Linked DNA regions of Bombyx mori. Each later gene encodes a partner of the first gene's protein in a complex. Links are inferred from orthologs where the notes say so. Each region holds a gene or a part of one and is shown on either strand. Other genes may lie near its edges.

The links.
Region 2: ragulator complex protein LAMTOR5 (region 1) and ragulator complex protein LAMTOR3 homolog share a complex: the UniProt entries of both Homo sapiens proteins name them as parts of the ragulator complex. The link is inferred for Bombyx mori from reciprocal best matches to the Homo sapiens genes LAMTOR5 and LAMTOR3.

Annotation. Positions count from the first base shown.
Region 1 is NC_085110.1:1,232,804-1,237,372, reverse strand, and holds ragulator complex protein LAMTOR5, read right to left. Parts: upstream 2,935-4,569; 5' UTR 2,830-2,934; coding exon 2,557-2,829; 3' UTR 2,554-2,556; intron 1,668-2,553; exon of another isoform or gene 1,207-1,667; 3' UTR 85-1,206; downstream 1-84. UniProt on the Homo sapiens protein: As part of the Ragulator complex it is involved in amino acid sensing and activation of mTORC1, a signaling complex promoting cell growth in response to growth factors, energy levels, and amino acids.
Region 2 is NC_085109.1:12,157,661-12,162,084, reverse strand, and holds ragulator complex protein LAMTOR3 homolog, read left to right. Parts: upstream 1-1,306; 5' UTR 1,307-1,458; coding exon 1,459-1,502; intron 1,503-1,819; coding exon 1,820-2,012; intron 2,013-2,745; coding exon 2,746-2,886; 3' UTR 2,887-3,997; downstream 3,998-4,424. UniProt on the Homo sapiens protein: As part of the Ragulator complex it is involved in amino acid sensing and activation of mTORC1, a signaling complex promoting cell growth in response to growth factors, energy levels, and amino acids.

The DNA.
Region 1 (4,569 bases):
TACTGTTAGTATTGCATATCTGTAATAAATGTGTGTATATTGATGTTCTTGTTTTCTTGCCTCGTACTAGGAAAATAATAATCATTTCACATAAACCATATATTATAATATTTGTAAACCTCATATATAAAATAACAAGAGATACTTAACATTAAAATAATTGTTTCGTTTCTATAGTCTTTTAAAAGGCTATCCACAGTCTAAGTAACTGTTTGTCCTGTGGAACATTTAAGTTAATAAAGTGTAGGGTGCCTAACATCAAATCTTACAATAAATAGTCCATAACTAAATGATAAGTGTTATAGGTAGTTTTCCAATTACAGAGCATAATGCGACTCAGTGAAGCACAATGCCAAATTATGCTGAAGATTAATTGGAAAGTCAATTAGTTTTCAAATGCATCAGCAGAGTGCGCTAAGTTAGCACAGTTTTATTTAATATTGATTATTTCTAAGAAACTACGACGAAACGAAAGCCTTACATTTTTTTTCAACATTAAATAATATTACTAACGATAATATAAACAAAATTTCGATCAATGCCAACTTAAAGAAAAAACACTTGTCAATTTATTCTGTCACTGAGTTGGTACCGATTGCGAGTATCAGCAGTACTTTTGAGAGTGCTCGATTGTGCGAAGCGTTGCTGTAGTTGGAACATTCAACGTTGAGCATTATGCTGCATAATGCGCTCTTGTGCTGTAATTGAAAAACTACCAAAATGATCATTAATAATATTTTCTTACAGTAGAACCACTCCCCATACTTTTCCTTACTTAAACTTAATTTTTATATTAAAACTTTTAAAATAAGAACGAAATTATGATCCTATAAGAACAAACTTTCCACATCTAACAAATATTTTTTACTTTTTAGTATTTTTTAGCGAGCTGAAAAAGAAAGTTTTTAATTTAAACAATCATTTAGTTAACTAAAGCAACTTAACTTATAACAAAAAATAATTAATGCAAGATTAAACAGTAAAAGTACTTAAATTATGTTTACAACTCAAAAACCAAAGAAAAACATACTATGTTATATATTATTTGAGAATAATCCTGAAGATCCTGGTCAGTCCAATGGGATACTCTTATTATATTATTCTATTATTCTGGGCGGTCCTTTATAAGTGTGCTAAATTTCAATTATATAATGTTTCGAGGTGGGTTGAAATAATGTTCAAAGATTCCAATGCATACAGGCAAAGCTAATAAACAAGCAAATTAAAAAACCAGTCATTATTATTATTACATGAAGAAACTAGAGAATTTATGTGGTTACGAAAAACTTATACTTGGAATACAATATTATGTTAATCATAATTGTTAAACTTTTACTTAGTATGGTGGTAAGCCATTACAATAATTTAGCTGTTAATATTTATTCTCTTTAAAATAACATTATACAATGTTTATGTGGTTTTACATTTTATGATTGGTAGGTAATACTTTAGATAAATTTTGAAATTAAAATCTAGATAAAGAAGTATTCAAATTTATGTTATTTTGGGGGTCAGTTAAAAGTAAATAATAATTTTAATTTATTTCCTATCACTAGACATAACCTCCTGAGAGATGTTAAGTTAACATACTTTTGGCTGAATAATACACGATCTTCTGGATAGCTTGCTTACCAGAATAGTTCAATGTTGTTTTAAATTTTATTTTACTGAAAAACAAATAATAAACTTTATTTAACTGTAAATGAAACTTAAATAATTACTAATAATGTATGTGTGAATAATGTATGTGAGTATGTGAATGCTATCACCCACCATCTTGAGACTTCATCCTTATTATTCTTTTCATGAATGGATTTATTTTCAAGAACTTGCATTATAATCATTACTAGCGACCCGCCCTCGCTTCGCTTCGGAAACATTAAAACACACAGAAACCAAAAAAAAAAATAAAAAAAAATAAAAAAAAGTAGCCTATGTTCATCAGGGACAATGTCGGCTTCTAATGGAAAAAGAATTTTTCAAATCGGTCCAGTAGTTTCGGAGCCTATTCGAAACAAACAAACAAACAAATCTTTCCTCTTTATAATATTAGTATAGATTAATAATAATAGAAAAAATAATAGAATAATAATAGAAGTTTTTATATAATATATGATATTATATAAAAATAAAAAATACCCTCGGTGTGGATTGGGAGAGGCCTATGTCCAGCAGTGGACTGATGATGGGCTGATGATGATGATGATGATGAAGCAGTAAAGTTTCAGTTACTCCCATAACTTGTGTGTTCATAGTGCGTAATGTAATTTTCTATATAACAAAAATCTCATTATAAGGTTTTGGGGAATTTATCTTTTCGTGTTAGTGTGGAATCGTGTTGTAAAATACCGTGTTATAGTAGGGCTAGCTACCTGTACATTAAAATATTGTTATTACATTTCACTTATGTCATAACTTACAAGTAATTTCATGTTCCATAGAAAACTATGTTGTGAAGTAACAGCAAAGAGTTCATTTAAGTTCAAGGCCGTTCATACATATCATGATAAACAATTATTACATTTTCAATAAATAAATAAAATATACAAGTACCTTCTATGTTTTCAATTTAAAAATCGCTCCGGTGATCGTGCCATGTCGTTGTATGAGGCACTGTTTTTTATCAGTTTCAAGGCAAACTGTGGGCGGTTTCATGTTCGGTTGTATTTTACAGGCCTGTTCTGATATGGCAACGATTATCCCTGCAGAGTCTACGTGCGCGGCGCCTTTTGATGCCAAGCATAGTCCTTGTGGGTCCGCGATAAGACAGCCATTGACATTAGGCATAGACATGATTTCTTCTACGACTTTGTCTAGATCGTTTTCCATTTTTATTAAACAAATTTATATTAATTTATAAAAAACACGGTCAAAGTCGACTGTCGACTGTCTTTTGGAAACAAAACAAAAGATTCTTTGTTGACTTTTGACATAGCATCAGCACTGACAGATGTATTTTTTTAAAGTCTAGTTGGACAAGCAAATAAAGCCGTGTATAGAACTAAGTTTTTTGTTAGACTGAGCCGTGTTTGTGTTACGATAGCGAAATGGTACAAATAATTGAAAATAAATTTTTTCTCCTACCGACGCCGAAAGTTCGGTTTTCGTCCCGCTATACAGGGAAGAAAGTGTAACTTTTCCTCCTGCTGTACAGGAAAGAAAGTGTAACTTTTTCTCCCTGGGTTAAGTGTGCATGCGTCTACGTCTGTCTACGTCTGCTCTCACGCATCTAAAATTCTCCGCCATTGTTGTGCTCGGGTAATTTGCAATATTTAGTGTTTAGTGTAAAAGTAAAATAAACAAAAGTCAATAAAATTTAATAGTGAAGTATTAAACAAAGATGAATTCATCAGACAGTTCTTATTCAATTGGTAGTAGTTTTTTTAAAAATTGACCATAAAGATTTACATTACGACACAAAACTGCCAGCAGTAGAACCATCAGAGGACCACGTGCACTGGAACCGGAAGAAAGGACATACTTATGCGATGCCGTGGAGAAAAAACTAGCCCTAGAACCTCCTACAGGCGATGCTAACACTCAATGGGATACCGTAAAATCTCATCTCTGCGAATCCCTTGAAGAAATCAAGGCTTCCCGCAGAGAGGGAAATGCAAATCGGAAAAAAAACCAAAGTATGGATTTCGGAGCAAACAAGAGAAGCTTATAAGCAAGAGGAAAGACATCAAAGTGAAGGGATTACAGAATGATGACGTCAGGAAGACTTATTCTGACCTTTGCAAGGAAATTAAAAAAGCGTGCCGCCGAGATAAAAGCTGTTTCATTGGAGACATTTACACTGATATCGAAAAACATTCACAAAAATACCAACCGTCTTATTTGTTCAAGAAAGTTCGCCTTTTGTCTCGGAAATTTAAACCAAGATCCTGGATAATTGAAGATCCCAATGGCAAGCCTATCACTGATTTAAATGCCGTTGTCGAAATGTGGCGTAAATACTGTGAAGGATTATATGATCAGCCTCAGTCAATGAGTACACAACTCCCAGTCTGGGACGACATAACCTTAGAACCTTCAATAATACGATCAGAAGTAACAGAAGCCATCTCTCGACTAAAGAGCAATAAAGCTCCAGGACCGGATCACATCACGGCAGAAATAATTAAATCGCTGGGAGATAGGGGTGTGAATGCAGTGCATAGCATCTGCAATTACGTATGGCAACATGGCGAGTGGCCCAATAACTGGACTGAGTTGATCATTTTGCCGCTTCATAAAAAAGGGTCAACTAGGAAGTGCGACAATAACCGCACGCTAGCCCTTGTCTCACATTGCAGCAAAGTTCTACTGTACATTCTCAACACCCGCTTGCGCCACTTCCTAGATTGGCAAATCCCCAAGAGCAAGCCGGTTTCGTTAAAGGGAAGGGAACACGTGAACAAATCCTCAATATCAGGCAGCTTATCGAGAGGTCGTATGAGTTCGGCACCCCGATGGTCATGTGTTTTATTGACTACAGTAAAGCCTTTGATTGCGTCAAATGGGATCACCTGTGGAAAATACTAGCAGATTTGGGAGTACCGCAACATCTGGTCCTACTTTTACATA
Region 2 (4,424 bases), on another chromosome or scaffold:
TGAAAAAGAACGCATATTGAGGCGAAAGAGATTTTTTATTCTTTTGTTATCATACCAAACTTGTAATTCAAGATATTGCAACATTCAATTGTGATGTTATTTAACACTTTATTGCTTCGCATTTATGAACACTTATTCTATTATAATTGGTTGACTATGCAAATAAATCTCTAGAAGTACAAAGGCAATAATTATTGTACCCAAAAATAAATTACGAAAATCCCACAACTTGTCAGTTCGATTCTGCCATTTTGGCAATAGACTTTAAAAATAATTTTTAATCTGTGTTCATTTACATTTGAATTTTTCGCTGTTTCCAAGTCAGTAATATTTATTAAAAAAAAAAAAGAATTGCTCGCTACTGACATTCTCATCTCATTTATTTTTTTGGGGATCCTCACGGATCACTTATCGGCATTTGTTTAATAAAATAAATAGTAAACATTAATAGACTTATGTGGGATTAGTATTCTATATAGATCCATATTCGTTGTATAATGAGCTAATTTTGAATTAAGCAACAGGCACAAATAGATTTTGTAACAGAATAATCATAGAATATAGGTAATCTGTGAACTTTCATGAAATTTCTGAAATTGGCCTAAAACCTTTTTTTTGGAGGGAACGCGAGGAGTGACGTTGTGTGAGTTGTTTTATTTTGTCAATTTAGTGTTTCTTCAGGTTTAAATGTGTAATAACCGTGGTTTATAAACTGTTTAGTATAACTGTGAAAGTGCACAAATGTGGGAAAATGAAACTAAGCCACTGAACGTAACTTCTCGGGATCCTCCAAAAAGTCCACTCAAAAATCTTAGTAAATGGCCACCATTTTACTGAGATTGTATTTCATCCCTTATCATCCCATCTCATTTCATTTCATGTTTCATATGAATGAACTTCATTTCATTTCACTTCATATTATCATTTTTCATACATAATAAAAATATATTTAAAATATAAAAGCTTAAGGCAGCGATTCCCAAAGTGGTCTATATCGACCCCTAGGGGTTATGTTATTTTATTTATAGTTTATTTTATGTTACGTATATTTTACATAACAGATACAAAATTTTATTTTGAGTAGTTTTAATTTAAATTCAATTAATAAATGTATAAATTAACATGGGTTTTATTTTAAGTTTTTAACACTAAACTTTACTACAGTTAGAAATTTACAGGAAATCAATATCAGGTAAGTAGGGGGTCTACCCAACACGGAAAAACATGGCAAGGGGTCTACGACACAAAAAAGTTTGGGGAACTCTGGTTTAAGGTATATACTAAGGTACCTTTGCCTGTCCAGTTGGAAAAACAAAATTAGTATTACTACTGGCGTAAAACCAATTTGTCAACTGTCAACATTAAAAAAATATAAACAAACCTTATTTTTTTCACAATTTAGTATTTGCTAGCTTTCCATATTTCTAAAACCAAAAAAGATTTTTCACTGTAAAAAATATGGTTGACGATCTTAGAAAATACTTGAATCATTTACTGGAAAAGTAAGAAAACTTTATAATTTACGTTTTTACTCTTTGGTTTTTCGTTTTATTATCTTACTTGCGACCCGCCCTAGCTTCGCTTCGGAAATTGTTATTTATTATTGATTTCTCCACTATTTAATGGATGTTATTATACACATAAACCTTCCTCTTCAATCACTCTATCTATTAAAAAAAACCGCATCAAAATCCGTTGCGTAGTTTTAAAGATTTAAGCATACATAGGGATATAGGGACAGAGAAAGTGACTTTGGAAAGTACGTACGGATGGATAAAAAAGAAAAACTATTGATGGCCTTAACTTTATTCTTTTTCAGAGTAAATGGCCTACATTGTATTTTGATTACCGATAGAGACGGTGTACCCCTTGTGAGGGCGGTAACTGAAAGAGCGCCTCCACTAGCTCTGCGTCCTAACTTCATATCCACGTTTGGAATGGCCACAGATCAGGCTAGCAAACTTGGGTTGGGTAGAAATAAAACCATTATATCAATGTATTCTAGTTATCAGGTTAGTTTTGAAAAAAATATACATTATTATTTTTAGTAAGTGATAAATATATAGTTATTGCGTGCTACCGAGTGCTACCAGGCAACCTCCGACGGAGAGCCAGCGCCAAACTATAAAAAAGATCCCTCGCTGCGCATTTGCCCTCTTTTTTGTGTGTAGCGTTCATGTACGTTTCTTGTTGAAACATGTTTTGGACTTGTGTAGTTTTTACAGTTTTCGTTAATGGTAGATTGAAATCATTTTGTTAGAAATTTTGTTTAATTCAGTGAAATATAATTAGACCAGTTCTGTGTAATTTATTTCTATTATATAAGAGGTTTAACTACCTCACTTCTGGTCAATTATAGAATTGTAGGGCTATAAAGCCTCCCTCATACATGGAGCTATTGTCGCTTATTGAGTGCTAGTTATTAGTAAATACATGATGTTGAAGAATGAGACTGCCCTGTTTGCCTGGAATGAGTATAATAAGTTAGTTAAATTTCTTTAGGTGGAATCATTGCTAACACAAGCTGTATAATAGCAAAGGAAGTCAAATCTGGGCACAATTTTGGGCTTCAGTCAATCAGTTATTATAAAAAATATCTAAATTTAAAATACATATTTAGAACCCTAAAATTATTGATAAATTATTTTAAATCGAAATATTGCAATCTTGAGCCATTCACAGTATAATAGTATTTCTAATATTTCTGTAATGTTCATGTTTAATAAAAATAATCATAATTTACAGGTGGTACAAATGAGCAAACTACCCCTAGTTATCACATTTATTGGAAGCGACAACTGCAACACTGGTCACATCTTATCATTAGAGAGTCAGATTGAACCGTTCTTGAAGGACTTGGAGGTGGTAGTTGCAGATGCACCTTGAATCAAACAAGCGAAACCAAAATATTTCTCATAAATTACTCATATAAACATGTTTTTAAAATATATCAAGGCTATTTGGTTTAAGCGACATTCATCTTTGTAATTAAAGGTACCTTTTAATTGGTATTAGCATCAAGACTTTGTTGAACTTTAATTAAATTTACTCCATTCTAATAGCAGAAGAAGTGTTTTTGTCTGATATATTTTTCCAAATTTTAAACATTTTGGCTCACCTGTAAAGTTTCAAAAATGTTGCTTAAACCAAATAGCCTTTTACAACTCTCTAAAATAGGTTTATTAAGGCTAATGTGGGATCGAAGTTACATATTTATTTTTCGGTGCTTTTATGAACTGTATATAGTAATATGAACATTGGCAATGCCTTGCGTTTTTTTACAATAATCTGTTTAGCTAAAGTATATTGATGTAAAATAAGTTATGTGGAACCCATCATAAAGTAATGCAAATCTGCAATTACATAGATTAAATGCAATATAAAAGTTTATCCAAAAACATTACATAATTGCATATATGAATATTATTCGAATGCTTTGAGTGCAAATACCTATAAAATTTGGTGTTGCCAGTGTCAGTTTTGAACTATAACATCTTCTTTTTTTAACTACCTACATTACTAACAATGATAGAAAAGTTTAAAAACTGAAATAATTTATATTAATAAGATGTATATAGAAGCAGGGTTGACTGCATATAGTTAGTAATGTGTACATATAAGGCAGATGACGTATTGGAATATGCAATGCAGCTTGATGCAGAGATGCAGTCCAATATTCCAGGTATTTGTTTAAAAAGTGCATTATATGATTCATTGATTTATGTATGGACATGTAGTGAATACGTCTGGTATGATATTTGCCTAAAATATATTTTTTCTCTAAAAATGTCAGTAGCTACTTTGATATATTACAACTAGTTTATGTGTATTATCTATTATCTATGGTTACAGTATCCCTAAATGTTTATTGGTGTTTAATGTATGTATATATAATTGAATTTTGGAATTGAAATTCTAAAATGCTATTTAAAGTGTCAAAACATATAAAGTTATAAAAAGGAAACTATTTACGTACCATTAAAAGTTAACTGTTTTAGTTCTTGTTTTCTTAATTTTGGGAATTACCTACTTGTATAGTTTTCTGAACGAATTTATCATTGAATTATTAAGTTATAAGAAGCAAACCTTTTAGCCAGATCAGAACTACTATCGTTCGGAAATTAAGGTTGGGGCAGCAACTTTAGGTATGATGGGATTCATTTATTTTCGTATCAGGAATCACCAGCAGTGCCACCTTCTCAATGACAAGTGTTCATTCTTGATAGTGATAAACTTATTACATTTAATAGTTACAATCTAGGATTTTCTCTTGTGCTGTGTGTGTGTGGACAAACAAGACAAGCTAAAAATGGGCGACGGTAACCACTCACCATCAGGTAGGCCGTGTGCTCGTCTGCCTAAAAGGGCAATAAAAAAAATGCAAACCCTTAAATCTTTAACAAAGACTCTATTTCATAGATTAT